4 linked regions of the Lytechinus pictus genome follow. The protein of the gene in region 3 binds, or shares a complex with, the protein of the main gene of each other region. Links are inferred from orthologs where the notes say so. Each region holds a gene or a part of one and is shown on either strand. Other genes may lie near its edges. The genes, in order: serine/arginine repetitive matrix protein 1-like; RNA-binding motif protein, X-linked 2-like; 116 kDa U5 small nuclear ribonucleoprotein component-like; SNW domain-containing protein 1-like.

Evidence for each region.
Region 1: 116 kDa U5 small nuclear ribonucleoprotein component-like (region 3) and serine/arginine repetitive matrix protein 1-like share a complex: the UniProt entries of both Homo sapiens proteins name them as parts of the minor spliceosome. The link is inferred for Lytechinus pictus from reciprocal best matches to the Homo sapiens genes EFTUD2 and SRRM1.
Region 2: 116 kDa U5 small nuclear ribonucleoprotein component-like (region 3) and RNA-binding motif protein, X-linked 2-like share a complex: the UniProt entries of both Homo sapiens proteins name them as parts of the minor spliceosome. The link is inferred for Lytechinus pictus from reciprocal best matches to the Homo sapiens genes EFTUD2 and RBMX2.
Region 4: 116 kDa U5 small nuclear ribonucleoprotein component-like (region 3) and SNW domain-containing protein 1-like share a complex: the UniProt entries of both Homo sapiens proteins name them as parts of the minor spliceosome. The link is inferred for Lytechinus pictus from reciprocal best matches to the Homo sapiens genes EFTUD2 and SNW1.

The regions. Positions count from the first base shown.
Region 1 is NC_087248.1:16,740,569-16,748,409, reverse strand, and holds the start of serine/arginine repetitive matrix protein 1-like, read left to right. Parts: upstream 1-4,834; 5' UTR 4,835-4,846; coding exon 4,847-4,993; intron 4,994-5,580; coding exon 5,581-5,703; intron 5,704-7,490; exon of another isoform or gene 7,491-7,540; intron 7,541-7,841. UniProt on the Homo sapiens protein: Part of pre- and post-splicing multiprotein mRNP complexes. As a component of the minor spliceosome, involved in the splicing of U12-type introns in pre-mRNAs. Involved in numerous pre-mRNA processing events.
Region 2 is NC_087260.1:9,504,958-9,512,796, forward strand, and holds the start of RNA-binding motif protein, X-linked 2-like, read left to right. Parts: upstream 1-4,824; 5' UTR 4,825-4,935; coding exon 4,936-4,940; intron 4,941-7,839. UniProt on the Homo sapiens protein: Involved in pre-mRNA splicing as component of the activated spliceosome. As a component of the minor spliceosome, involved in the splicing of U12-type introns in pre-mRNAs.
Region 3 is NC_087257.1:27,317,440-27,325,302, reverse strand, and holds the start of 116 kDa U5 small nuclear ribonucleoprotein component-like, read left to right. Parts: upstream 1-4,849; 5' UTR 4,850-5,171; intron 5,172-7,863. UniProt on the Homo sapiens protein: Required for pre-mRNA splicing as component of the spliceosome, including pre-catalytic, catalytic and post-catalytic spliceosomal complexes. Component of the U5 snRNP and the U4/U6-U5 tri-snRNP complex, a building block of the spliceosome.
Region 4 is NC_087251.1:28,641,466-28,648,823, forward strand, and holds the start of SNW domain-containing protein 1-like, read left to right. Parts: upstream 1-4,349; 5' UTR 4,350-4,616; coding exon 4,617-4,633; intron 4,634-6,181; coding exon 6,182-6,242; intron 6,243-6,623; coding exon 6,624-6,701; intron 6,702-7,358. UniProt on the Homo sapiens protein: Involved in pre-mRNA splicing as component of the spliceosome. As a component of the minor spliceosome, involved in the splicing of U12-type introns in pre-mRNAs.

The sequences.
Region 1 (7,841 bases), on a different chromosome or scaffold from region 3:
CCAGTTACAGCTCCAGTAGATTTTTTACAAATCAAAACCAGGGAGATTGAATTATCATTGAATAAAAAGTTACAACTCGCAATGCACGCCAATCAATTAAATCATGAAGTTAAGTTGGAATCAACACCAACCAATGGAGATTGAAATTTTACAAGATATAAAGAAAAGGGGTCAATTTACCAGGAATTAGCAGAATGGGGGGGGGGTAGACTTTTTTGACTAGCAAAATACAACAATAAAAAATGGTAACCATTCTCGGAAACACTTGGAATTTTCTGACAATCATGCACAAAGTGATTGAATGGTTGCGGGCAGGACTGGGGTGGGAATATGCCCCCCCCTCCACCTTGCTCCCCAACCAGCGCCTCATTACAAACATTTAATAGTTTTTAAGAATCAACTGGAATCATACGAAAAAGGGAGATTCAAGCATTAACTTAAAATGGCAAACCATTAAAAAACTTACGATCGGACATATTCTCACTCTTTGACGCCCCCCCCATCTCATCTCGCCTTCAGGGGAATACATTAGAGTGAATCAAGTTGATCTGTAATTGATACACTCGGTAAAATGCATTGTACATCACATGCAAATCACATACACGTGCCAGATTCTCTCAGCCCAGACACCATGCTCAGACTTAAACATCAACAATGGAAATTTCCATGACTGGTCAAGAGCCACGTGTTGCATGTTATTCAGACTCACATGTACATTGACTCCACGAAAATGCACACACTCGTGATGCACACAAAATCCAGACACATTTCATCATAATTTTTCTGTCTGTCTCTCTCATCTTCTCTCAAATCCCGTGGGCTCTGCACGTAAGTATTGTCTCCGTCGCTCTCTCTCTCTCCCTTTCTCTCCAAGGAGCGTTGCTCCTGACTCTCTCATATCTCCGACGTGACATGCATTTGACCTAAACGCACCCGTACGGGTGCGTAAAGCGAACTTTTGATGTATATTCATGAGCCGTGGCGCGTGATAAACATGGCGCGCTGACGTCATAAGCAACATTCGCGGAGACTCCTCCGGAGATTCCTGAAAAAGACATGATCGCGTACCGTGGATGACCACATTTTGAGAGGCTTTTGGGCTCTAATCGGCGGAAAAAATGTCAATTTTCGTTCGCTTATAATTTTGCTGTGAAATGGATTTACCACATCAAATTTAGCAGTTGGTAAGAGTGAAATTTTCTCTTTCAATTGAATACAGTCATAACACGTAATTCAAACCCGATCCGAAGATATAAATTAGGTCCGGACACCCTATTATTATCATTATTCCGTTTTGGCCTGAAATGCACCAAAACGGGGAAAAAATAAACTTAAAAGGTAAAAAAACAGTGACTTACTTCGGCTGTTACGCAACTATCACTTCCCTGGCCTGGTTTATCTCACATGTATTGCGAGGTTAGTATAGTAAGTATTTGAACCGCGTTTGGCAGTGGATTTCTAACTAAAAGTTAGTGCCTTAGTGGGTCGCGCGTTCTGTGTGTCCACAACACACGACTTCTATGGCTTGATTTTTCTGTGCGCGGCGGCACGTAATGAACCCTTGAGTGGGTTTATCTGAATGGCCATTGAGTCCTTGTACAGATCAAGTTAGAACTTCGGTCTCTGTAATTGGTGAGTGGAGCCAACGGAGTTCAGCGGAACAACCATATAACAGAAACCGAAGCTTTTGGTCTATATTTCGGCTTGAATATGATGTCACCGTTCGAATTTTCAGTCAGACATCGCTTCATTGGAGTTGGATTCACCGATAATTTGATATGGACCGAGGTTAGCCACCAAATTCATGCAAACATGCGGCAAACAAACACAACGAGCTGCTGCAAAGCAGGCAGATCTACTTTAGTTTTGGTCGCTAATTTCAGTCCATATCACACTTCGGCGAAGCCAAGCATTGCCAAGGCCCAAGCGATGTCTGAATTATGAGAATTGGACAATGACCTCGCCTCATGATACAACTGAAATAAAGCTGCTCCCGATCGCGATATTTGGAAAAGCCGTGGGTATATTGACCTTGAAATGTGATTGAGAGTCTTGCTATGACATTTACAAACAATTACTGTTGGGGAAATTCTCTGGAAATAGGCTGGTGCGATACTGCATTCGCGCCATATTTGGTTTATATCTGTATATTGGTCGTATACAGTAATTACCTTACACTTTTCGTAATTTCTCTTTTTTTCAGTCATGTCAAAACTTCACATATGAAAAATAGTAATACGTTGTTTTTTTGGTTACGAAATACGATCCTATCTATCGGCTTCCAACCGCAAAAATTAAAAGATCACACTTGGATATGTGCTTTCTAACAAGTTGAAAAAAGTTAGAAATAAACAAAGTTATTGCTGCTGATCAGCATTTTGAAAATAATTTTTAGCCCTTTTTATCGTTACATACAACTAGATTTAGAGGATGTTAAAAGTGTGAAATTATTTTCTGGCGTGTAAATGCGGGCGTTCATTATTACAGTTGCTCACAATATGACATTTATATAGAAATATGTTGCTGTGAGTACGAATTTATAGATCAATATTTCTCCCTTGTTTTTTTGTGGAGCCTGACGTTCGAAAAACCAAATAACTGCAATATCCCCAGAACTATCTGCAAAAAGGGAAGAAATGCTATAGTATATCCTCCCTAAAAACTTTCTACTCACAGCAAATACATGTATAATGCTCGATGATGCTTACAAGTCCATTTACAAATGCTGTACACAGGGCTCCACACTAACCCATTTTTTCTACTGGTCCAACCTATTCATGTCGGACCAGTAGATACCCAGTTTTTCAATCTTTTACTGGTCCGAACCTAAAATCTACTGGTCCCCCAAAATAAAGAAAACATAAAAAAGTCCTTTCTTGTTACCCCCTCCCCCAAAAAATGAAGGAATGAAAGACAAAATGAAAGCAAGACAGAAAGAAAGAAAGAATAAAAGAAAGGAAGGAAGAAAAAAGAAAAGGTAAAGAAAGGATAGATGTGAAGGAAGGAAAAAAAAAAGAACTAAAGAAGGAAAGGAAGGAAGGAAGTTAAGAAAGAACAAAAGAAAAGAGAAATAAAGGAATGAAGGAAAGAAATGAAGCAAGCAATAAAGAAAGAAAGAACAAAAGACAGAAAGTAGTGAAGGAGAGAAAGAAGCTATAAAAAAAGGGTAATAGGAGAGATGGAAAGAAGGAAAAAAGAAAGAAAGAGAGGAAGGAAGGATGAAAGAAGGAAGAAAGGAATAAGGAAGAAATAACAAAAAGGTAAAATGATAGATAAAAAGAAAGAAATAAATACAGAAGGAAAGGAAGGAAGCAAGCAAGCAATATAAAAAAAGAAAAGGTAAAAGAATAGATGAAAGTAAGAAAAAAAGAAAGACTGAGAGACGAAGACAGGAAGGAATGAAAGAAAGGAGAGAAAGGAAGCAAGCAGTAAAAAAAAAAAAAGGTAAAAGGATAGATTGAACGAAGGGAAAAAGGAAAGAACAAAAGACAGAAAGAAGAAAGGAAGGACTTAATGAAAGAAAGAGAGAAAGGGCTGAAAGAAGGAAGAAATAAGAAACAAGAAAGGGTAAAGAAAGGATGGATGGAAGGAAGAAAGTAACAAAGAATGAAGGAAAGAAAGGGTAAAAAGAAGGAAGGAAAGAAAGGAAGGAAGAAGAGAAGAGATAAATATAGGATGGACGGACTCAAGAATTAAAGAAAGAAATCAAAAAGAAGAAAGAAAGAGAAAAAGAAATAGAGAAAAATATTTTTTTAAAGGATAGAAAGAATGAAAGAACGACTTAAAGAAAAAAAGGGAAATTAAAAAAGAAAGACAGAAAAAAAATGAAAGAGAGGGAAGAAACAAAGAAAGATTGAAAAGAAAGATGGAAAGAAAGAAAGACAACAGAGGAAGAAAGCTTAAACTATTATCATAAATAAATTATCAGTTTCGTTTTGGCTCAATTAAAATATAGCTACGAGAGAAAGTCAGAAACCAAGTGTATCAACACACACACAAATGCATGTGGGCTATCATGTATTCAGACGATATCACTCGAAACCCGATCTGTTTGAACTAAAACAGAAGTGAAAATTTCTCCTTTTACTGCTTACAAATGACAGAGTTACCCCAATTTTTAGGAAATATGGACATTATATAAATAAGAGCCTTTCATGAGTGTGAACTGTGAATTTTGACAGTCCTGTGAGAGATTTCTGCCAGAGGTTAGCCAAGCTTCGTATGTGCAGCCAGTAGAGAATTTACCATGTGGGTTGTGTGGCTGGCTACATGTACACTGTATGGTAACATATTAACACTTACATGCGATTCATTTTGTGTGTATTCTGTGTGTGAATGACAGAAATTAACGGGAGGAAAATGGTTTGCAATTTGAGTCATGGAATATTTTTTTATGTTAATGTTGGACCAGTGAATTTGACCATTTCTGGAAAAAGTTACTGGTCCAACAATGGTTTTTATTACTGGTCATGTCGGACTCATAAATCTTGCTATTTTGGAAAAATTACTGGCCCGGCAATGATATTTTTTTACTGGTCATGTCGGACCAGTACATCTTGCTATTTCTGAAAATCTACTGGCCCGACAGCGATATTTACCGGTCGGGGACCGTCGAACCGGCGCAAGTTGCGCCCTGCTGTACAGCACCATTAAAATTGTGTTCGGGATACTTCATGAGAAGTCAACGAGCGGCATATATGGTTTTTTTTCACTTTAACGCTTACATCCAAGGTATTATCAGTTCTTTGCTCCACATGGCTTCTGGTGGGGCTCGGTGTAGGTGAGCTCTAAATCAGTAAAAGTGCCGGTTGACATTGGTTATCAGTTTAACATTGAGAATCAGTTCATGATGTCTGGTACACAAGTAACCTTATTTTTCTCTACATTCTCCAATTTCTTACAGGGCACCAGTGCCGACCAAGACAATCGCTTCACAAATAAGAAAAAGAAGCTGTTGAGATCGCTCAAGTTCAACCCTATTATGGAGAGGAAGGTATGTTCTGAAGTATTATTCACCTACATGTATTAAGCTGGGGGGGTTATAAAGAGGCAAGATTTTATGCAACTGGGAAGAAGCCACCTCTTGGCTTGGTGTGTCTATGGGGTGTTGCAAGAAACCTGCGATCAATTGTAAGTCTATTTTTGACGCTACATCAATTACTTGGCTTGTAGTTAATTGCAAATTAGTGATTGATTGCTAATCTACTCCTTGAAACAAGTAGTTTAATCCGATTTGCTACAGCTAACGTTGATCTATCAGTTGTAAAATTGCAACAGAATATTTGCAATTGACCGCAAATATTTTCTTGCAACACCCCCATCCGCAAAGTATACAGTTATTGCTCTGTTCATCCTGCTGTCTCTATGAACCAGATTTGGGAATTCATTCCAACCAAGACTTGTAATCTTTAGAAATGTAAACTTATAAAATATCAAGTATCTAGTAGTAGTGACGGGAAAATGAAAAGACTGGTTGTTTGAGAGGTGTTTGCCAATCACTTGATCTCTGACTCCGACCATTTGCAATGGGCTGTCCCTATTCCCTTTATTTCATCAATTCTGTTGTTCAATTTTCTCTAGGTGAGCATGAGTAAGGTCAACTTGGATACACTAAAACCATGGATTACAACGAAAGTCACCGAGATGCTTGGAGTGGAAGATGATGTCCTCATTGAGTTCATCTTTAACCAATTGGAAGAAGAAGTAAGATGTCGCCTTTTCTTTGTCTAGATTGTATATAGTCAACTCTGTGTTAAGGTTAAATTGATTGATGTTTTAATCATTGTACTGGTCAATATTTTGTGGTCATTATTTCATAGGTCAAGTGTATAGTAGCCATGGTGAGAACTCATTAGGTTTTGTCATTGGTATAGGTCATCTTGTGCAGGTATTTATAGATTGCTTTCTATGCTTTTCGATAAGACACATTTTTATTTTAAGTTGAACTACATTTAAGTATGCTGTTCACAACAAAAGAGTAGTGATGTTTGTGGTATCTTTAATAATGTGCGACTGCATGGCCTAAGGTAGCTAATAATAGGTAAGCAAAAAAAGACGAGGCAGAGCAAATGGGATCTTATTCAGGTAGGAGGAATAATGCACATCCAGGTGGGTGTTTCACAAAGATTTAAGTATGACTTAAGTCGCACTTAAATGCCGACGCGTACATGATATGCAACGGGCGATCTTTTTGATAGATACACAGTAGTGCGCTTCCTAATGACACGATCTGACCAATGCGGTCAAGCCTTTCATACCGTACGCAACTGGGTGTTTAAGGGCGACTCTAAGTCATACTTAAATCTTTGTGAAACACCCCCAGGAAACATAACATAAAGCAAAGCGATTGGACGTGGAGCTGATTTAATTTACTGACTCACCAGACTCTAGACTCAATGCTATCAATTGTAGACAGCAGCCCTGTGATCAGTTGCTATAAAGCTTTATGTTACCGGGCCCAGCAAAGGAACCTACTTCTTGCGTGAAGTGTCCAGTGGAATCCTCTCCGACCCCCTCCTCCAACATAGTGATGGTTAATTATTGTTAGACAGGACAAGCTTTTAAAACTGATGCTGATTACAGGTAAGTATTCAGTTTTGAATTCAAGAACCTTTTGAGGAGATTATATATAGAAGTCTTGATTGGTAGGTAAAGGCTTTTGAGTTCTTGAGCAGTTGAGCTACATGTACACAGATTTACTATGTATGTAGCACTTTTGGCAAGACCCGATTGTCATGCAATGTTTTGCACTGATAACGGGAAATATTAGTGCTTCTTATTGAGTATCTTTGTTTTAATCCTACTCAAGTATGATTTTAGATCATTTTGCCAACCAAAATGATGAATTAGTTTAATGCTGGCCCACAAAATTTACTCTATGAAAAAAAAGACGAAGTCAATTAGCCCGTTGGCAGTTAAATGAGCCGTCACATGAACTTTTCCCTTTTACATGCAGTTTGTAGTGGTAGGTAATGATGAGATGCCACTGGAGAAATATTCAACAAAAGGTAATCTGAAGAAAAAAAATAGTTTGTCTTGTATTAGTATGTAGTATGTTATTTTTCTATGATTTTGTGCTATTATAACACACTGACCATTAAAAATCAGAATTAAGAATGTTGCTAGATGAATCTTATAATGTACCTATTATGTACAAAGAGATTCATTTACTTCATGGACCAGGCGATTGAGACAAGTAAGTAATACATAACTTTAATGTTTTCATCAATTTTTGAGTTCTTACCATGCTACTATACTTAATACGTTATGAGCTGATCAGATTATCTATGTGACGACAATAAAATTTAAGAAATTTGGAAATTGTGACCCCCCACCGAATAAAAGAAAGAAAAATAATTGTTTTGAAGAAAATATAATATTCTGATTCATGATTAATTGTGTGTGATTTGCTCATAACTCAATGGAAGTTTCCCCCCTTTTATATGTTTTCACATTTAAATTTTATTGACATTTTGATGATTTTATTTCAGGATTTAGTTTCATTCCCTCAGACTGCAAGAGACGGTAGAGTACATTAATAGTATGTCCAATATCAGCAAAACAGTATGGCCATCTGTAATGAAATAAAATCATTTATGAATATAGAGCTTTACACAGAATTTGGTCTTAGCATTTCGTCACAGAATGGCTATAGTCTTCTTGTATTTTCTTGCCAAAACAAGGAGTATTTACATAACAGGTCAATTCAGTTGGGGTTAAAATGTGTTTGAAATTAAATTAAATAAATATTTCCGTAACATCTGCTCACATTTTGAAATGGATTCATGATAATTAACAATTTAATGAAGCACCCAAGCTTCCTTCTTCCTTTATAACAAAAC
Region 2 (7,839 bases), on a different chromosome or scaffold from region 3:
TATTTTATTATTATATTTTCAATCATTGTTTCATAAAAATATATAAATGTAAAATCTATATTACAGTCAGTCTGCAAGCCCCTGCCTTAATGAGCAAGATATATCCAAGTCCTCTCGTGGCTGAATTCATGTCCCTGCAAAATCTCGTGAATTGTGAAACTTTGTTTCTCAAAGAATTTAACCACTTTCTCCTTGAGTAAAATTGGTTATTTTTGTACCATATGAAAGAGTAAACGTTACTCTTTTATACTGAGCATTTCTTTTGAATAAAATATTTTGATAAATGAGTGAATTTTAGGCATGAAAAGATGCCTCAAAAGGAATTTTCTTCCTCTTTTTTCTCTTGCAAATTGTGCAAAATTTTGTGTTTTAGGCACAAATATTATTTATATCATCAGAAAGCTCAAACTCTATACTTTCTTACAATGTCACTATTGATATATGGCACCTTTTAGATGGGTCAGCAGCCAGCTTTTTCCACCGAAATGCAAGACGAGATTTCTGAAATTTCTGAGTAGCATAAAATCTAGAGTTCTGATTGGTTGAATGGGAACATTGGAATTTGCGTGGGTGTGTGGTCTCTATGACCAAACAAAGCATGGTATTCTTGATTTTAAACTGCTAAATGTACTTGGCCTATTAAAAGCTGGCTGCTGACCCATCTAAGATACCTCTTCTTATGAAAATTATATCATATTAAAGCTTAGATCTTGAGCTTTATCATAATCTAAAAATTATTTGGGCCCAACGAGAAATTAAGTGTTAAAACAACAAGTTTTTTTGCATTAAAATAATTATTTTGTTTCATGTTTTAGAACAAAAGTTTCACCTATGTTATAAAATCTTTTTAAAAATCCAGACACATGACATGAAAGAATGATATTTCTTTATAAAGATACCAAAAACATGAAATTTGGTCAATATTTAGAGCAGCAATGCCCGAATAAAAAGAGGTGTTTTCGTCCGCACCAAGCTCATTAACAATGCAAAAACCCTCTAGTCATGAATATCACTTGGATAAAAGAAGCTACTTTTTGAGGGCTTGCCGACTGACTGATTACATTTTCTATCATGATATGTCACCACTGAACAATAAAGTGTAATCTGAAATGTTTGTGTTGGGAAGTAACTAGCGCAAATATGAAATGTTTTTGTCAAGTTATTACTTTTAATTTGTCTAAAATATGAAGATTTTTTTGGGGAAAATGACACCTAAATATTTTTTTCAGCTCCTGGTGACAAATCAATGTGATGAAGGGGCATATATGACATACTCATGAATTTGATATCAAATTCGTCATGATAGCAAAAATATTTGATAAGATACAGTAAATTTTATGACGTTTGACAAATGTCAGCTTTTCTTTAAATTTCCTTGGTGTATGTAAACTTCTGGCCTTAACTGTAGGTACCATTGTATAATTATGAACCTTTTGCAGTGAGAATCACTGACAGGCAGTTTAGAGTATTTATATCATGAGCAGTTTGTCTCTTTCTCATGTAATCTAATACCACATTGAGCTAAACCCTTTCGCACGTATTCTGAAGTCGGGTTTAATTTAAACTCTGGTTTTTAGTTGTGGTTTAACTATGGAAAGCCAGTTGTTATATAAATCTACAACAAGTAGAGGTTCAATGTATCAGCTCATTTGACTCCCAAAACATTAACTGCCTGGGAAAGATAAGTATGACAGTCGTCTTCACCAATAAAGAATTAGTTAAGAGCACAGTAAACATGAGAAGCATTCACTCTAAAAACAAAATTTTGAAACGTTTGGCTTCCCATAGTTTTAGCACAGAGTTAGACCATGGTCTTTGTTAAACCCGACTTCAGAATACGGGCCTTTGGGTCATATTCTGATAGCCATGGTTTAAACTTGGGTTAACTAAGACCACATTTTCAGCTATTAAAGTATTTTCGTTTATAACAAAGGACAAGAGTTATTCTTTCAAATTTTGATGTTTTTAGGTACATTTTGTGTCATCAATTACATGATTAACAATTGTATCCCTGGGTGACGGTCAAATGTAATTTCAGATCAATCGACTCTGATAAAAAAAAAGTTATGTTCGTCATCTTAAAAGTGTTTCATCTAACTAAATGAAACGTGAAATGTGTGAAATGGTTATTGGATATCACAAATGATATTAAATCAATGTGTTTACCAGTGAAGGTCAAATGTCATTTGAGGTCATTGAACTTTGGGGTTTATTATCAATTTATATACTTTCTTACAAGACATTTGAGAGGTTGCAACACTAGGTCACCAGACATGGTCATATGACATTTTCTCTAACTTGTATGCATTCCTTTTACTTTGCTGATCAACACATTCTTTGTCATGTTGAAATAAAGAACCTTCAAAATCACCTGCAGTCAAAATTTTTATCTGTTTAATCTCTTTGAGGCAAGTAATCATTTATGTCCTTTTGTGTTCATTGAAATGTCCCTTTGCCTTGGTGTATCAAGAATATGAAGTTACATCAATTTATGTAGTATGATTTTCTTTTTTACCATATGGCCTTGAATAATATTTTGTTATTTATGACACTTATTAAACTGATAATTCTGAAGAAAAATATTGATGTGCTGTTTCTTTTATGTTTTATTGTTATGTTGAACATTTAATAGTCTATATACATGAATAGCCTTTCTGTGAAAGATGTGAACAAACAAATGAATCATTGTGCCACTCTTTATTTGAAAAAAAAAATCAAGCCATTTCCTTTCACTTCATTTCAGTTTATCTTTATTTATGAAAGACTACAAAATATTGCATACATAAATATAGGCAACCTAAACCCAAGAAAGAATCTAGCTTATTTGAAAGAATAGAGTAAGAGAAACCAAAAAATAATTTAAAAATCGCTTATAAAATAAGAGAGTTATGGAAGCTTAAAGAGTCTTGCAAACACTATTCATAAGCTTGCTTACATTTGCAAAATATATCTGATATCTCCTGACCATGACATATGGTAGGAATTGTATTTTCCCATATTATGTTGCGCTCAAAATAAAGCAAGATGTGGTTTGTAAGGTAATTTTGAAAATTTGTGTAAAAAGCGAAATTAGTCATTATTTAGCATGTTGCCAATATGAGGACACCCATTGAATTTACATCAAGACTTTACACACTTACATAACTCTTATTTTGTAACTTTGATAAAACAAAGCTTTTTTTATTGCTCTCATATTACTCTTCAAATGTTTCCTTTGGTTTTGGTTTTCTGTAAACAAATTTAGACACGTTGGACCCCTTCAGCTCTACCTGGGGAAAGGGAAATAAGGTTCCAAATAATTAACCTGTTGCCAATTTGCTTTGTTTTTTCTTCATTTTTTTTCCAGTTGCCATTTGAGGGTCATCTGAGGGGGGGGGGGGTACTTCCATTGAAGAGGACGATAGCAACAGCAATAAAAACTTAACAAACCACACACAGAGAAAGTTGTGATTTTGGGGGGGATAAGCACTGTCATAATCCAAATCAGGAAAAGGGTGTGCAATTTCGTGAATGTTATGATTTTGAAACATTAATAAATACCCCAGCCTTCATATCTTTCCTCCTTTATCCTCACCATCATAAATGACAAATAGTAGGTAAAATCACCTTTCAACTCTACAAAATAATGGTTTTATACACTGCAAAAATTCCGGTGTTGATTTAACACCAGCCAGGAATCTAAATATGTCCACATCAGAGAAATATTTAGATAACACCGGTTTGGAATCAAGCCGATGCTCTTTTAATACTAATTGGTGTTGTAAACACATATCTGGTGTTAGACCAAAACTTAACTGGTGTTGTTTAACACTTCTCTGGTGTTGACATATATTGATTCCGGGCTGGTGTTAAATCAACACCAGAGTTTTTGCAGTGTAGCAGGCCCTACAAATTTTAGCCAAAACAAATTGCCTGCTCCCAGAAACAGACACCAAAATCAGAAAAAGGACCACCAAATAAAATAGTTGTGGACAAAATATGTGATTGGGGGGTGGCGGTCATTTAGGATTTTAATTGGCCCGGCACACTTTTTGGGGGACCCGAGACCAAAAAATATTGTCATTTCATATTGAGATACATTAAAAGGAATTTAAAGAACTGTTCCCTTATCAAAATAACAAAAAAAAAATATATATATATTTGACCCATGACCATGTACAGCCCACTCCTACTAATATTTAAGACGGGCATAATTTGATTTAGCATCCTCAACAACAACACAATACATATTTAATTCTCGAGAGAGAATATAGATATTTTGATAGTAGTGAGAATAAGAAAAGGTATTGGTGAAAAAAAATATCAAAAGAGAGTGTGGGAGAGAGGAGTATAAAATGGCGGTATGATGGACCTGACATTTTTGTTTGAAAAAAAAAGTTACTATTATTTCTATTTCTAATGTCAATCTGCAAATCTATAATCAACTGAAATCGCTTGTGCTAGAAAGATTGAAAAGTGCCAACAATAACTGAGGAAAATAATCAGCATTTTCTTCATTTCAAAATATGCTTACATCATTTCACTTAGAATAAAACATAAAAAATGTTTATATTGTTAATCATATCACTGAAACTAGCTAACAAAGAAGAAAAAAATACACTTTATTCACAGCAGTTGCAGTATAAACTAGACTCGATTGTTATGTCTTCCGGAACGAAGTTTAGTTTGCCGAAAATTAATCAGAATCGAGATGATGATTGATTGCATTTGAGCACGTCGGGCATATATAGGCCGAGGATCGAACCCGAGACTTGCCATGAACAATAGACCACTCTGTCGTCCACGGCACCCCTATGCATCTTGAGAGCACCGTCAATACAGGCCCGTGTTGTTGCCCTCTACGTTGGTTGGTCTTATGCATGCAGGGCTGCCTCTTTATGCTATGTCTGTTTGTTAATTTATGTACCGGTACGTGCGGAAATCCCCGCGGAGATCATGAAGTAAGTTGATGAAATCTTGAATTTAGGGTATGAACAGTGTAAATGATGATATCAGCAATATTAACACTCAATCTGTTGTCTCTTTTTCAGCTGCGTTATAATTCTCACTCGACTAGTAATAAACTAATATATGTTGTCCCACTCGCTCAATTTTATGTCATGTCTTTGACTTTGTAGGGTCGGGATCACTCTTTTATTGCGAGGTTAATAGTATAACCTCGCACCATGAACCGCGTTTGGCAGTGTATTTCTAACTAGTGGGTCACGCGTGCTGGGATCCCACTTCTGGTGTCCACAACACCCGACTTCTATGGCTTGATATTTCTGTGCGCGGCGGCATGTACAGTGCAGTGGCAGTGGTAACCCACGACCTAGTACCAATTGAATGAGGTCCAAACATCATGAACTAAGCTTGTAACCGATTTTGCAATCGGCAACCGATTCCATTCGATTTCACCACAATCGGCGATCACTTGCCGATTTTCGATCATGCCCATCAAAGAAAAAAATCGAATGTAAAAAATCGAATTGTTGAAAATTGGCGGAGCCGCGGAGCTCAGTTGCATTTTGCCCTTACGCATCGCCAGCTGCTGTCTGTGCGTACTATGCCGCTCTAGCTCTAGCAGCACGTCGCACTAGCACTGCCGTGACCGGTAGCAAAGACACTACAGCTTGAGTTAGTTGAGGGTACACGTTCGCCCGCTCTATTGAGCTCTAGCAGCAGACATAAGCGCAAGCCACGGATGAATAAAAATAATGGCGGCACGCGACTTGGTACATAATCAACCAAGGAGCTGAAGCTCTTTTGATCGAACAGATCTAGTCATAATCTCCTTGATCCTTACCAAAATATATTCCTCGATCGCGATCATTTCATTTCTCGGGTTCTTTTCACATTTTCCCCCATGACCATATCCCCGGCCAGCCTTTCACTCCTTTTCATGTATGCATCGTTTCGGTGGCCGTGGTGGGGGATCGGGGGGGGGGGGGGTAGACTTGTGAAGCTTTGCCTAGCGTGATAATGAGATTGTCTTTTTATGTTCATATTTTTTGTGTCTTTTTATTATGAATTCCTCATAATATTTTGATTTACTGATATTGTACATGAAATAATAAAATCATGTTCAACTTACAGGTATCTAGAATAGGCCTATAGGACCTTTTATGCATGTATGTTTGCGTTTTTTTTACAATTCTGTTTATAGATATTTCTTGAAGATTTTTTTTCTGTATTTCTCCCCTTGTGAATATAAATTGTCAAAAAAGATGTCCATATATTGACTCTTTAGTGTTAAAATGTTAAAAGGTTAATTTATAAATGTAGAACCAATAACCAATATGTTAATAATTTCATACAATATAGGCATATGATATACATGTACATTGTTTTCACAATTCATGTTATATGATGATGAAGAAATGAAGTATAATTTAAAAAAAAACGAATACTTCTGAAGTCTGAATCCCTTTTCAGACTTCAGGTGAACGTAGATGAAAAAAAAAACCTTTTCCATTTTGTTTATTCTTCTTAGGTTCTTAGAGGGTGGAAGAAATTCAAATATGACACTTTCTATTTTCCATTGGACAGAACCTCGGCCTATATTTTTTTTCTCTTTATTGTATAATGATGTATCTGGTAAAATCTGAACCCTCTGGCTGATCTTTGTTTGTGGAAAATAGGAAAAGAACGTTGGAAAATGAGAAGCATATATTATAATCGTATTCTTCATATTTGTAATTCTATATTGCATATTTCCTTTTATCTTTATTTCCATTCAGTGATTTTGATTTTTGTTTGTTTTGCTTCGTTGACAAATATATAGAAAGTGAAGGTTTTCACAGAATGCCCTCCTATCGAAATGATTTTTACCCCAATAATCTTGCAGCTGTTACTTTGGTCATATACTCATGATTTCTTTAATAATAAATAAAAAAAGTGAACATCAAAATTTATGTCTCGTGCTAGTATTTCTCACTCGTCCCTTTCATTTGTTTTATTCTCTCTTTCATTTTATGCTCTGATCGCTTGTTTCTATCATTGAATGGTTTGTTAAAAACAGCAACATGTTTGATGTATTTTTTTTAATTAAGGGCGTAAAGCACTGAAGAATGGAGAGAAAAACCTGTTTAATAAGGGTCTTTATCAAGTCCTTTCTTTGGGTTTTCACAAAATGAACTCCAAACGGACTGATTAGAAAAAAAATCTTCCCTCTCTTCAAGAAATAACCAAATCAAAAGCTATAATAATTTTATGATATGGACATTGCCATTGGACTGGTTTGGTGCCGTTGATGGACCAAGAAAGGCGGCAGATGTTTTCCGTCCAGCTTGTTTCCCCTTCTCTCCTGTTCAATCGACCGAGAGACGGAAGTGTGATGACATTGCATCCCAGCAAAAGGGAACCCGTTTTTCAGAACCTAGATTCACAATCATCAAATAAATTTTGATCGAACTATATTTGACAACGAAATGAGAGTAAATCCTTATTTTGAAAACTTTCAGCAAATTATGCTTGCATGGCAGAATTCAAGAAGTATTATGTAATTCTAAATCTCCTCTCATTTGGAAATAAAGAGCCCAAATAAAGTGTTACTATAGTAACTACTAACGAACCAAGAGTATTTTACAATCATAATAGGCATCGCTATCTCGTTTGCCTATAATACAAATTCCCTATTATTCTTGAGAGTAAAATAAAATTACATCACTCTTTAGGTCGTCCCATGTTGTCTTGTCCCTGTAAAAAATACTCCGCGATAGCAAAAAACAACCAGTCGTCTCTACTGGAAAACTCTGACAACGCGATTTCTTTTTTCTGAGACGCACTGTAAGCATATATGTACGTGGTATGTGTGTGTGTGGTTTAGGATGTTTTCGTTTCAGCCTACCAGCTGATAAG
Region 3 (7,863 bases):
GATGATGCGTAGGCTCGTGACTCATCCTGAAGCGCTTCGAATTTGAATGATTAAAAAACTTAAGTGTCATTCAAAATTTCAAACTGAGGGCGCCAGGGGCGGAAATCTCTCCCAAAAGGTAGGGGGGACGCAGTTGTGGATCCAGCCTTCGCCAATAGGGGGGAGGGGGCGGAAAGTTGTTTCAGCCATATTTTCCCCGATCGGCAGCTCGAAGATGATTTTTGTTTGTTTCTTTGAAGGGGTAGTCCTCACTAGTGACTTCTTAGCTTTATTCTTATAAATTAATATATAATATCGCAATCCTTATTTATATGATGCGAGCGCGAAGCGCGAGCTAATTTTTTTGTGGAAATCTTATGTATTTTTTCCTAAAATTTTAATTTTCTGGGCAATGTTTATTATCCTGAAAAAGATGTGTATGCAACTAAATAATTACTACGAACGCAAAGCGCGAGCAGAAATGAACTGATGGAAAAGATACCTGTTAAAGACTGCTTGCATTTAGCATTTAACAATCTAATAATGCGAGCGCGAAGCGCGACCTGACATTTTTTTGACACATCACCTAAAGAATGGAAATTCTAAGCACTGTTTGTAACTCAAGCAGAATAGGTATATAAGAAGACAATTGATGCGAGCGCAAAGCGCGAGCGGAAAATTTCGAGATTTAGTCCTATAATATTTACTGAACGAGATACTCTATTCATGTTTTGTAAATCATGAAAAGGATTAGTATTAATAATGCGAGCGCAAAGCGCGAGCAGAAAATTTTTATATACGTTTTGAACTGGTACCTGTTGAAAAGGTACCTGTTAAGGACAGCTTGCACTTAGCCATGAAGGCGTTACATATTTCAACAATCAAAAAATGCGAGCGCGGAGCGCGAGCTTAAAATTTTTGAAATTTCTAAAGAAATAATGGAAAATTTTAATCAATTTTGTTAGTCGTGAACAAGATAGCTATATAATCTAACAATTGATGCGAGCGCGAAGCGCGAGAAAAAAAATCGAGATTTAGACCTAAAATGGGCCACTCTGTTCATGTTTTGTAAATCATGAAAAGGATGAGTAACAGGGGGTCTTCCTACATTAATAATGCGAGAACAAAGCGCGAGCAGAAAATTGTTGATATTGTGATCTGAAACTGGATAATGATTTATATATAAACATGCGCGCGCGTGTTTCATATTTAGCATGTTTAGACCTAGAATCTAGGCATTCTAAATACATCTTTAATCATGAAAATCATGAAACGTTGATATTCCGATCTGAAAAAAAAGTAAATTTCAGCTTTATTTTAAAGGAGAATGAAACCCTTGAAACCAGCTGAATCCATATCAAAGAGAAAAATCAAAGGAACACATTGTTCAAAGTTTGAGGAAGATTGAATGAATAATAAGAAAGTTATGAGCATTTGAATATTGAGATCACTAGTGCCATGTAGATCCTCCCATCGGCAATGCGACCAAGATCTGTGATATCACACACGTACAACTCCCTCATTACTTTAGTACTTATTTCACTTATATTCTCACTTTTATAGAGTCTATCACAAGGTGAGGTGTTCTCTTTATGAGATGACAAGTACAGAGGTTTCACAACATTATATCATTGATGAATCGTTTGTCATATGATTAGAATGAGCAAAAATAAATATTTTGGGGTATATTTTCAGTGTCCAAATGGGAGAGTTGTACGTGTGTGACATCACAGATCTTGGTCGCATTGCCAATGGGAGGATCTCCATAGCATTAGTGATCTCGACATTCAAATGCTCATAACTCTTTTATTGCTAGTCCTATTTTACTCAAACTTTTGTTGACCTTATTTTTTTATTTTTCTGCTTTCACAAAAGCTAACTTGCTCCAAGAGTTTCATTCTCCTTTAAGCACTTTGTAGGAAAATTGTAAGGTGGATATGGATCGCACTTAAAAAAGAGCTGATATTTTCATTATTATTACTTTGAGTTTTTACATAGGACCTGGGGGGCGTTTCATCAATATTTTCGTCCGACAAGTTGTCAGATCTGACAACTTTCCTGGATTCTGATTGGTTGAGAAGCACTGTTACTATAGTTACTGTCGGATAAAACAGGACTTGTCGGATAAAACGTCCGACAAGTCCTTTCATGAAACGCTCCCCGGGACATCCTTATGACATGTCATCATATGAAAATGATGACTATCTTCCTAAGCGCGAGATGAAACAAAAGGGACAATTTAATTATTAAATTAATATATTTATTAATGCCTAATGAGGGCGCGAAATCTGATGATATTATGGCATAAAAACTGGACATTTCACTTTTGTAAATATGAATAGGATGCATCAGTTAATATATTTTTAACCATTAATGCGAGCGCAAATCGCGAGCTAAAATTTTTGATAAACTGTCATGAAAAGGGGAATTTAAGTAGTTAGTTGTATAATCAATATTGAAACATACATAATTCGCCAATCAAAATGGCAGTATGAAACGCTAGCTGATACGTCTTGACAATCAGACCTGAAAAGGGATATTTTGAAAAAATTTGGAATACACGAAAATAATAGGTACCTGATAAATCAAAATTTGTGAGCGCGGAGCGCAAGCAGCAAAATATTCAGACCATAAAACTAAAAAAATTTACAGAGAACTTTTTAAAAATCAATTTGTAAATCACACAAAATAATGAAAGTTCGATTTCCGAGGTTTTCTGAAAATTCAGGGGGGGGGGGTCCGGGCCCCTGGATCCGCCTATGGGGACAAGGGGCTGGAAAATTTGACAAGCAAAAAAAAGGTTATCATCCCAAAAGTAAGGTCATCTCGACCCAACTCGTCCCAAAATAATGTTTTATTTCGATTAAGAATGATGTATTTCTTGCCATCATAAAAGACCAAAAATAGTAGGGGGACATTTGATATTGTGTCCCCCCTACTATTTTGAGTAGGGGGGACACGTCCCCCCTGTCCCCCCTGGGATTTCCGCCCATGGAGGGCGCAAAACAAGACAGGAGATGAATGCGCAGGGAAATGACATGAAGTTTCATCAAATTTGATAAAAACCTTGTTCTTTTTTTATTCAATACGACACGAATTTTATACCATCCTCTTATTAAATTAGAAACCTGTTTGCCCCCAAATTATGAATGTTTAGTAACTAGCTGAAAAGCGGGAGAAGTGGCCTATATGGAGGTGACGGCAGAATTTGATATAAAGATTTTACACGCCCGGAGCCCCCCCCCCCCCCCCCAGTGCGGAAATGTTGCGTGAAAGAAGAAGATAACTTCATATAATTCGGCCTAACCTTACTCTAATGCCATGCCCTAATGCATACTTGAACTTTAACTATAGGAACACACTAGTCCTATAGCCGAGGTGGAAAAACAGGGTTAGAGAAAGGGTGATGGAAACAAAGGAGAACTGCAATATTGTAATTTAACCGCGCGAAGCGCGTATGCAAAATTAATCATTATAAACTTAGAGCGAGAGTGAAGGGGTTTCGTTAAGGTCCTAATTCTTTTGAGAAAAAAAAAGAAAAAGAAAAACCCACAAAGCTACATTTCTTCCATTTCCTCCCTTCGCCTTTCCTTTTCTCCTCTTTTTTCCCCCTTTTTTTTCTTCTTCTTTTTGGGGACGTTTTGGAGGGGGGACCGCCCCCCCCCCCTGGCGCGCACCTGCAGCCTTACTCTATTCAGAATGTTGAGAATAAAATTAGGAAAATAAAAGGATAAATTAAGGGGAAATACAAAATTACAAATTGGGATTATCAAAGGAGGCGTAACGCTAGGCCTACATACATCATACCACTGTTAATTATAACCCCCCCCCCCCCGCCGAATGCTGGGGCCTCCCCTGATATTCTTTGCCGGTCGAGAGCTAATGTTTTCTAGGCCTACTTTGGTTTCTATCTTTGACTGAATATTTAAACGAAGCAAAACAATGGCTGACCGTGAACAAATTTCAACTTTACAAATATCACAATATGATCACAGCAATTTTTAAAAACTAAGATTAGAAGTTACTGAAGAGCTATATCCTCTAAAAATGAAGACATGAAGCCGACAGAATTATGGGGGGGGGGGGGGGCACAAAGCGCACCATCGCCGCTCCCCAAATTTAGGGCGGGTAGAACATAAGAGGAAAGAAGGATGGCCAAGGGGGTTGATGAAATTAAAGGTCAAGTCCACCCCAGGAAAATGCTGACTTGAATAAATAGAGAAAAATGAAACTGGCATATTGCTGAAAATTTCATCAAGATCGGATGTAAAATAAGAAAGTTATGACATATTAAAGTTTCGCTTATTTTTCACAAAACAGTGATATGCACAACTAGGTGAGTCAGTCGATGATGTCCATCTCTCACTATTTATTTTGTTTTTTATTGTTTGAATTATACAATATTTCATTTTTTATAGATTTGACAATAAGGACCAACTTGACTGAACCATATAGTATTAAACAATGCTAATTCCACATGTTCAGGGAGGAATTAATCATTGTATCACTTGACAATGAGGAGAAAATTAGAATATTTCATATTTCATAAAAATATAAAAGAAATAGTGAGTGAGTGATGTCACCTGCAGTTCCCTCATTTGCATACTAGCCAGAATGTGCATATAACTATTTTGTGAAATTAAGCGAAACTTTAAAATGTCATAACTTTCTTATTTTACATCCGATTTTGATGAAATTTTCAGTGTTATGCTTGTTGGATTTTTCTCTTTTTATTCAAATCAACTTTTTGTTGGGGTGGACTTGTCCTTTAAAGATTACACTTTCATAGCTAGACATCGAACTTGGAAGGGGGGGGGGTGGCCAGGGGAGTCTAGGTATTGTTTGATGACGTTCGATAACGCTCATTGGTAGTCTAAAAATTGAGACTTTGATAGTAGCAATGTCGCGGTAATAACGTTTTATCAGGTTGACTTGAATTCAAATACAAAATATAAGAAGTACAATTGTTTTGAGGCAAAGAAGTTTTAAATACTGGACTTTGCATATCTACGAAAACAAAATAAGATATTGGTCGTGGCTTGAAATGGAATCCACTTTAACAATTCGTTGTTGATCGATCATGCACGCGCTTATGTTTTAGACTATTATCTTCGCCGCATGTATGGTGGCGTTTCGTCAACGAAAAGCGGCAGATTCTTGTCTGGATTAAAACCGTTAAATATAGTAATAAGGTAAGTGATCTTAGCATCTTATAATGTCATGCTTATTTATTGTAGAATGTCTCGTTTATTTTTGATATTTTGATTCAAATACTCGAATGTATGGGAATAATATTCGACCTTTTTCTGGTCCACAAAGTAAAGTGTAGTCCCATAAATTTCATATTGTGTAAGTCATTCATGCAGAGACTCTCCCAGGCCAGGCATGTGTGAGGTTTCCGCGTTTTTTTTAAAATTCATTTCCGCGCTTCTTTGCTCTTTTCCGCGTTTTCTATTTTTCCTCTTTTTTTCCCTCCTATTTCTTCCGTTTTATTGTTAGCCTTGCAAAACAGACATTAAAATATATGCGTAATTTTCTGTAGAAATGTACGTAATTGAGCCTTTTTGAGGCGATATTTGTAAAAACGACTGTTGAAATAGTCTAGTCACTCTAGACTCGAGTCTAGCAAAAAAAGGTATGAGCTGGTTTTCATCGCATGTGTCGTGATGTCGATGATGTGCAATGGGACAGCGCCGTAGTAGTACCGGGACCCTAGCCCGCTAGTGTTTGCTGACGGGCCGCTCATTTTGCCTAAGTCTAACTTAGAGTTAGACAGCTGGCACTGGCAGCCTTCTGTTTCGAGGAGTTTTTTAACATTTTTTTATTTTTTGTTATTTCTCCTCGTACACAGACAGCTCGCGATCGTGCAGCCGCCATTAGGGGGTATACAATGCGAAATCTCCCTGACGGGGCTCATCGATGTTTGTCTTTATTTCATTTAAATATATAATATAAAAAGAACTGGACCAAAATAAAGATTATTATTCCATTTTGGCCTGTAATGCACCAAAACGGGAAAAAATAAACCTAAAAGGGGAAAAAACAGTGACTTACTTCGGCTGTCGCGCAACTCCCACTTCCCTGGTTTATCCGAACTTAAATAATACATAAACATATGGCCTTTTGAGTCCCCGTACAGATCGAGTTTAGAACTTTGGTCTCTGTAATTGGTGAGTGGAGCCAACAGAATTCAGTGGAACATGCAATATAACAGAGACCGAATCTTTTGGTCCAGCCTAAGTCTAACGTTATACCAAACGCTTCAGTCTCTGTATTTTGGTTGTTCTGCTGAACTGCGTTGGCTCCACTCACCAATACATAGACTGATGAATTGTTGGCCCGTACGTAAAGCCAACGTATTAGTAGTATTAGCGCGCATCTTCCTGACAAAGTCACAAAGACGAATGCATTGAAATGGAAGTCGCCAACATGCGCGATCGTTTGGAACATGTTTAAAAAGGGTTTTGAGGTGTTACTGCTTTGAAATAAACCGAGTGATTTTTATTAGAAAGATAAACGAATGACACATCTTCCGAGCAAAGTCGCAAAGGAAAATAAAATGAAAATAATTATTCATAGATCACAGGTTAATGAACGATCGGCGGGACATCTTTTATAAGTATTTTTAGGTGCTAGCGATGTAGAATTATTGGAATGATCTCTTGATCTCATACGACGCATTGTATCTTAAAGTCGCAAGTGAAATTAAAACGTAGTAGAAGTCGCAAGCACACGCGATGATTCGGAACATGTTATTAAAATGTTGTGAGGAGCTAGCGTTTTCAAATCAATTTATTACTATCTTGAGAAATGAACTTTTGATATCCAAGAAGAAATAGAAAAGAAGCATCTCCCGACGAAGTTGCAAAGACAAATAAATTGAGGTTGAAGAGAAGATAACGATGTAAGAGAGTAGCGCAGTGATGTCCGTCAATAATACAACCTTTAAAAGTTCACGGCGGCGTCCGCTATCACCACAAGGTTGAAGAGAAGATGTCTATCATAAACGATTCAAGAGAGTAGAGCAGTGATCTCCGTCAATAATGCGACCTTTAAAAGTTCACGGCGGCGTCCGCTATCACCACGAGGTTGAAGAGAAGATATCTATCCTCGTAAACATCGTCAGATAATACCACGTCTTTCTCCCTGATTAATGCGACCTCTAAATAGCTAGCACCTCAAAAAAAATCTTGAAAAATATGTTCTGAACGATCACGCACTGTATTAAAACTAGATCTACGCCGATTTTTTATATACGATTTTTTCCTTCAAGGGGCATGATCGAAGATCGGAAGGTGATCGCCGATTGTGGTAAAATCTGATAAAATCGGGAGCAGATTAAAAAATTGGTTACAGCCTTACTTTCAGACCTTGTAAGTAAGTAGATCTAGCTAGGCCTATTTCATCTAGATCTAATGTTAGGCTCAATAACTACAGAACTGTAGGCCCCTATTATTTTTTTGTACAGTTTACCAACTCAAAAAGTATGTAGAAATGTCATCAAAAGTATGCTTCAAATTGCACCATTTGTCATACGAAATTCAAAAAGCGTCACGCAGGGCCACACCCATCCCCTGCTTGGTCGCTCCGCCTCCGCTACCTTGGGCCTCAATTGTTGCAGCAAAATATTTTCCTCCACATATTTTTCTACCCCACATGCCTGCAGAGACGACAGACGAGAGATAGAGGGCTGGGCGATCGCGAGCAAGTGCAAGGGAAGGGAAACTTTTTTTATACCCGGTAATTAAGTATTTATTAAGAATATAACAACATGATCAACACAAAATTCAACTTAAATCAAGAAAATTACGACCATAAATAGTAATGAACATATTTACATGTCATAAAGAATATGACTTTCATACATGTATGAATGTTCAAATT
Region 4 (7,358 bases), on a different chromosome or scaffold from region 3:
CAGTTAGGAATATCAAAATTTTTAGCTCGCGCTTCGCGCTCGCATAATTTATTAAGGAAGATACCCATCCTATTCATAGTTAAGTGCATAAAAATGTATCGTTTTAGGTCTAAATTTTTAGAAAATTTCAGCTCGCGCTTTGCGCTCGCAATTATTATTTTTTATATAATTTTAGTGTAAATTGTTAGGCAAGTGTAATTAAAAGTGAAGACTTTTTGGAGGTGGGGCTTGTCAAATTTTTGTAAACAAAATGTCCCCCTTGAAAATCCTGGATCTGCCCCTGGGTTGGATATAGATGAGTACTGTTCGTCGGACGTCAGTAATCGGTACTGATATCTGTCGGGTAAAGGCCTAGCTATACCCCTGCTTACACATTCCTCTGGTTATTACTGTCCCCCTATCTATCCTATGTACCTGATCCCTTCGTCCGCCTATCTATCTTTTCCAATTTCAATTCCCTCAACCTTCTGACATTCCTGCCAGTGAGTGAGTGATTTTCCCCATATCTAGTGATATATCATGTTACTGTCGCATATATTTTCACGTTCATATTTATTTTTTCATGAGTGGATGGATGCGTTTATTTTTGTTTTAATTGTGTATATGGAAATAAAACAAATGCAAATCAATACATGAATACAACTGATTTCAATGTCAAATACCTCTTTTATAACGTCTCCAAATGAGCAGAATTGGGAACATAATGTAAACACCTTCAAAGAGTAATAAAGGAAGTATTTTGATATAAACATTGCAATTACCACTTGATTAGAAATATATCGATCACGATCCAATACATTTCATTTCTGGAATGATATACAGAAATAATAATAATTTCGACAATAAAGTGCAATCGCCCGATAGCAAATATCAGTAGTAGCAAGATCCCAACTGTTTTATTGGGCATCCCCTGGGTAACCTTTCCCACATTCAGTGCCACTTCCAGACCTACACATCCAAACGTGTATGGAGGGGGGGGGGGGTTGCAAAATGCAGGGCAACCGAGGACTACGAGGTGCCCAAAAATCCTCGTGTATTGGTAATTTGATGACCGAATTTATAATTTCTGCAAGTTCCATATCATGTACAAAGGCTAAATAATAATTGGGAAAAAATGTTCGCTCGCTTCGCTCGCTCGAAAATTAAAAACTGTGAATTTGATATTTGGGCAATGATTATCAGCCCCCCTTGAAAACTGTGCCTATACGTCCATGCCTACTACCCCCCGCCTTGCTTATTTTTGTCGCTTGTCCCCCCCCCCCCCTGACGAAATATGCCAGGTACGCCACTGTCAGTAAGTCATAGGACGATAGTTCTCCAAATCGTCATCTGAACATATTTTATTGACAGGTATACTATTAACAACCATCATACTATCAGGGACAATGATACACTGAAGAGATAAATTTTATTTATATGCGTCAAGGGATCCATAATTTCACGAATACGACAAGATCACAGTGACATAATGAGAGGGGGGATATGGGTACGACATGTGTGTGAAAAATATTTCTTATAAGTCCTGAGTGAGAAAGTAGAGCAACTGAAGCAGAAAAATTACCTTTTTGGAATGAAAATCTAATTTTGTAATAGATTTTTACATAATATTCAGAAAACAACATCGTATCTTACCCCTTTTCCTTTCCTTTTTTTTTCTTGGTGGTGGAACTTTTGGGAGCCATGACCCAAGCCCCCCCCCCCCCCCCCCCATATCTGCGTCAGTAGAATTTCATGACCCAGGTCCCCCTTTCACAGTTTCAGTAACACGTGTTTATCGTTTTGTTTTGGGGTTTTTTACAATTGGCACACCTGAAGTAAAAAAGATTCACAAAAACTTTACATTGGTAATATATTCTGTTTTCCCCAGCATTAGGAAAATGCCCTGAACAGAGTATGATAAACCTATTACATGTCTACATAGGAAGTAAATAAAAGAGCATACCGAGAGACCCTATGTATGGGATTTTTCAACATAATCATAATGTGCAAAATAATACAAGAGTACTCATATTTTCGTTAGAATAACAATCATTCAAAATTCATATAGGCCTATATATTTGGAAAGCGATTTTCAAAACAAATCATCAAATAAATCTGAGCCGCCCTTTTGAAATATCAACATTATAATTAAAACATGATTAATTACTGTAAAATGACAGATGAACAAAACTTTGGACGAGAAAACCAAAACATTTTTTTTTCTTCAGTGATCTTGTATTGTGGTGTGAAAGAACTGTCCAGTGGTATAGTATATGAGTTACACTGGAGTTGGGGTTTTCCAAAGGTAACTTTATTTTCGTATCAAAAGGAAAAATAAAGGGGTATAAGCTATCCCTTAACATTGCTTGCCCCATTCAATCTTTTCATATGCGATTCAGCACCGTACTTATGGGATTAAATATTTTCTTTATCACTCCTCTTAATTTGTTGTTTCACCTTTCTTTTTTTTGGTCACATCGAAAATAACAGAAACTCTTGAACACCATTCTAGTGGGCATACTAGCAGTCCCTTTCACCTTTTTTTTGGCGGGGGGGTGCAGTGGGGGGGCTAATGTTAAAAGAAAAATGAATAAAAAATAGAATTGCGATATGATTGTTTATTGGTGTGGATGCAAAAAAATATTTGGTACATGATTCATATGGATAACATTTGAAGGTACAACTTCAAAATATAAAGGTGAATGAGAGAGGGAGGGAGAGAGAGAGAGAGGGAGAGGGAGAGAGAGAAAGAGAGTGGGAGAATGAATCGGGGGAAAGGGGTCAGAAAGAGAAAACCAAGAAGGAGAAATTTGGGTGTCATTGATTTCGTATGAGCCAAATCCCGACTGCTCGATCTCCAAGAGGAAAAAAAACAAGAAAATAATGATCTGCTTAATACATCGGAACGGCATGTCTAAGCGCTTTACAGATATATTATTACCCCGGTCATCGGATTTAATCAGTCATTCCCGCACACAATGTGTGTATATATTGACCCCAAACAGGGACATTTTAAGGACTATAATTTAGGAATCCATTAAGAGTATATATATGTATCTCACCATCATCTAATGCGAGTGCCAAGCGCTTGCTGATTTTGTTAGAATAATATACATCTTAACACATGAAGCACTTGTAGTCATTGTCATGATTAACATACGCATCTTACTAATCAAATATTGCGAGCGCGAGCTGAAAATTTGGGAAATTCAGACCTGAAGAGAGGCATTTTAAGGCTTGTTTGTAGGAATTCACGAGGAAATACGTACGTATTTCACTAACCAAATGATGCAAGCGCGAAGCGCGAGCTGAAAATATATTGACCCCAAACAGGGATATAATTATATTAAGGACTATTTTTTTAAAGGAATCCATTAAGAGTACACATATCTCACCATAGTCATCTAATTCAAGTGCCAAGCGCATGCTGATTTTGTTAGAATTACATCTAAACACATGAAGCACTTTTTATAGTCATTGTAATCATGATTATCATACGCATCTCACTAATCAAATATTGCGAGCGCGATGCGCGAGCTGAAAATTAAGGAAATTCAGATCTGAAAAGGGGCATTCTAAGGCCTGCTTGTAGGAATTCACGGAGACCATGCGTATTTCACTAACCAAATGATGCGAGCGCGAAACGCAGGCTGAAAATTTTTGATATTCAGATCAGAAAAAAGGACATTTTAAGGACTGATTTTAGGAATTCATGAAAAACAGACATATCTCACCAATCCACGAATGCTAACGTAAGCACGGACAGGAAATGGTTTAGATTAAGACCTTAAAATGGGGGCAATCACTTTAAGTAGCCATGAAAAAGAAGCATAATATGTCACTACTTAAAACAAGAATTCGACGTGCGAGGAAATATATTTGTTGTATATTGATTTGAAAACGGGAGGTTTTAGTACAACAGGATTATATATCTTGTTCAACAGACAATGCGAGCACCAAGAACAATGAAGACATAGGCCCTGCGCAAATTATGTTTCATAAAGTTATGATTTTTTAAATGTAATATAATATAACATAATTATAATATAATATAACTTTATAATTAACAATAATTCCTTCTTTCCCCACTACTTTTCTCTCCCTTTCTCCCTCTTTTTCTCCTTTCCCCGTTTTTTTTTTGGCCAGCCGATTGTGGGGGGGGGGGGGGGGTACGTGCCCCCCATGCCCCCCCCCCCGTAGTTACGCCACTGGTGGCAACTGGCAAGTATGAATTAACGCCTATTTTTTTTTTTTTTTTTTTTTTAATATGTACCGGTATATGTGATCGGAATATATATATATTTTTTTAAACAAGTGCACACCTAGTTACCAATAATGCATATAGCATTTCCATTTTTATTTGAAAGCAGGATAAAAGAGCATTGTAGATTAAATGCCTTGCTCACGGGCATAGGCGCCGCGGCCGGGGATCGAACCCCGGACTTTCCATGTATAGCCTGGCGCCTAGACCACTCGGCCACGGCTGTTGTGATCGGAAATTGGCACGTCTCCCTCTAGCGTTAGAAGACATGCATTAAAAGCCTATGGCGTAGCGAGCTTTCTGAGGAGATTCGACGACAGCCGATAGTTTGCCCAGAGATTTCTGCATTGTATCCAAGACTTTCGTCAAATTTACTATGGTGTCACTTGCTGAGTGAGTAGATTATTTACAAAATTTATTTCATGATTGGGTTATTGGTATTTTTTACAGTAAAATCAATTGCTAGACGGACGTGAGACTAAGTAAGAGTGGCGAGTGTGAACGGTGATTGTGAATACACAGGGGGCCGGTGCCGTTACTGGCGTGTGTAATTTCTTATGCACACATTTCCAGTGGCGATATCACAATTCTGTGACACAGTAATGCTCATTGCACAAGAGTTACATGTAAAACCCAGGGTAGAGCTCAATATTTGTGTGAGACTTAGTGAGTGGAATCTAACAGTGACTGAGTGTGGTGATGGCAATGTGTGTGATAGCAGACAGGGATTCGTCTGCCGGAATACACTTTTTGATTGTGGACTTGTGTCTTGTGTGGGCATTAACTAGTCTATCCACTTGCACGCTGCAACCATCCTGCCTGTGCCTGTGGGAAATCTACAGGTAGGAGTCGGACCAGTGTTTCCTAAGCTCCAAAATAAAATTCCCGAAACTGAATCCCAAATTTCCTGAAATTCATAGATATTTCCTAGAATTTTCAAATTTGATTTTAAACAAAATCGGGCAATACAGCGAGCCTAATAATTGGTCCGGGTGGCCAAAATCAAGGAATTTAGCATTTTTTGTTAACGCCCTCTTTAAAAATAGGAATAAAATTACCAAATGCGAGTGCAGAGCGCAAGCAGAAAATTTTGAGCTATGTATGGAGGTAAAAAATTCTGGCCTGAATATTAATAGTTGCTAGGTAACCAAAACCCAAGAAGAGAAGCAATCTTATTGGAAATTTAGGTAAAATGAGATGAACAATTACAAAAAAAAGTTTCATCAAAATCGGTTATGAAATAAGCAAGTTATGGACATTTAAAAAGTCTTGTACTTTCTATAGGGATCCTCAAATTGGCAAATGTGCTTCAAAATGTCTGAATTTGTGGACAACTCTCCATTTGTTTTGTACACAAATTTTCAGATTTTCCCCTTTATTTTACATTTTTCACATCTCCTGACCTTGACATATGTGGTGTGAATTTTATTTTCCCAAGACATATGTCGTGCTCAGAAGGAAGCAAGCTGCAATTTGAAAGATAATGAGGAAAATCTGAAAATTTGTGTACAAACAAATGGAGAGTTGTTCACAAATTCAGCCATTTTGAAGCATGTTTGCCAATTTCATAGTAGTTTTTAGAGTCAGCACTGCTGCTATATTGAATTGCGTAATGCAGGTGAGACTGCCAGAGGCGCTCCACTTGTTGACCATTTTTCATCATCTCTATATTCAAGTTCCCTTTGGAAGAATGTTGCAAAGTTTGAGCGTACAAAATCATTTTCTCACGCGTATGATGCGCGTTGGGTAAAACAAGGCCGGTCGGTAATACAATCACTCACTATACCATGTGATGTGACAATTGTTAGGGTTGCGTTGACAAGTCAGACACATTTCTGGGATTTTAACAAATGTTGCTGCAAGCTTCTCCTGCTTCATCTTTCCTTGTTCTTTTCTATCAAATACTAGCAATTGACTAAAAAAATTATACTTTTTCCACAGCATCCTACCTAAACCCAAGCAATGGGGGCAAGAAGATGAGGTAGACCTGAGAGCCAAAGAGGTAAGCAAATGAACATTCCTACACGTATTTCATTTTAAATAATTACAATAGTACTAATAAGGCCTGTTCATAAACATTTTGTGACAAAGCTCAGCAACCCTTTGTACGATGTCAATGGGGTAGGAGTTAAAAAAAGAATGTTGCAATAACATAGTGACCTGTTTTTGAATGTGTTGCTTGCAACCGCTAAGAGACAGACAAATAGTGAAAATTGAAAAAAGTTAAGATATGATGATTTACGCTGTTTGACAGACTTACTCATGATATCATTAAATATAATGCTGGAATGTGACTTTTATGAACCCATTCTCTTAAGTTTAATAATAGGATGTTGTATTAAATTAATAAATTTGCACTATAATGTTCCTCTTTCTTTTTCAGTTACGTGTGGTTTCTGTATCAAGGAATGCAGCTCCACCGTATGGTCATCGGAAAGGATGGGTGCCTCGGTCATTGGCTGTAAGTACATTAATATATATATACCCTCCCCCTAAAAAAAAAGAGACCCAAACAAACAAATATGCAGCAAAGTTGAGAAGGTACATGTAGTTAGTCATTCATTCTGATTTCAATGAATGTACTGTAAAAAAAATTACAGATAAATATTGAAAGTGAGGGATACTTCAAGTGGGAAACTTAAAGTGGCGTAGAAAATATATTTTTTGTTGTGACATACCTCTGTTTTAGAAATGTGGAAAATTGCCATCGTAATTAATCAAGTGATATACAGATTTCATTTTGTACCACAGAACTATCATTTTCATTGCATCACTGCCTACAGCCCTTGCAGTATAAAGTTGTCCTGAGGACAAGGTCATTTTTTATAAAACATCTTACAACCACTGTCTGTAAAGGGGAAATTTGAGGAAAACGAGACAGTTAAGGTGGACTGGACATCCAAGGCAGTGGCATCATATCATTGGTTTAACACAAGCCCTCTGTCACCTACATGTGCATGTGGCAACTTTCATTCACATGTTGATATAGATGGCAATATTGCAACTTTACATCCATGACTTTAACATGGAGGATCTAGCTTCCGAGATAAAAATTCCAACTGTTACCATGGCTTGAATGAATCAGTATAAATGAATGAATGAATTAACTTTATTGATC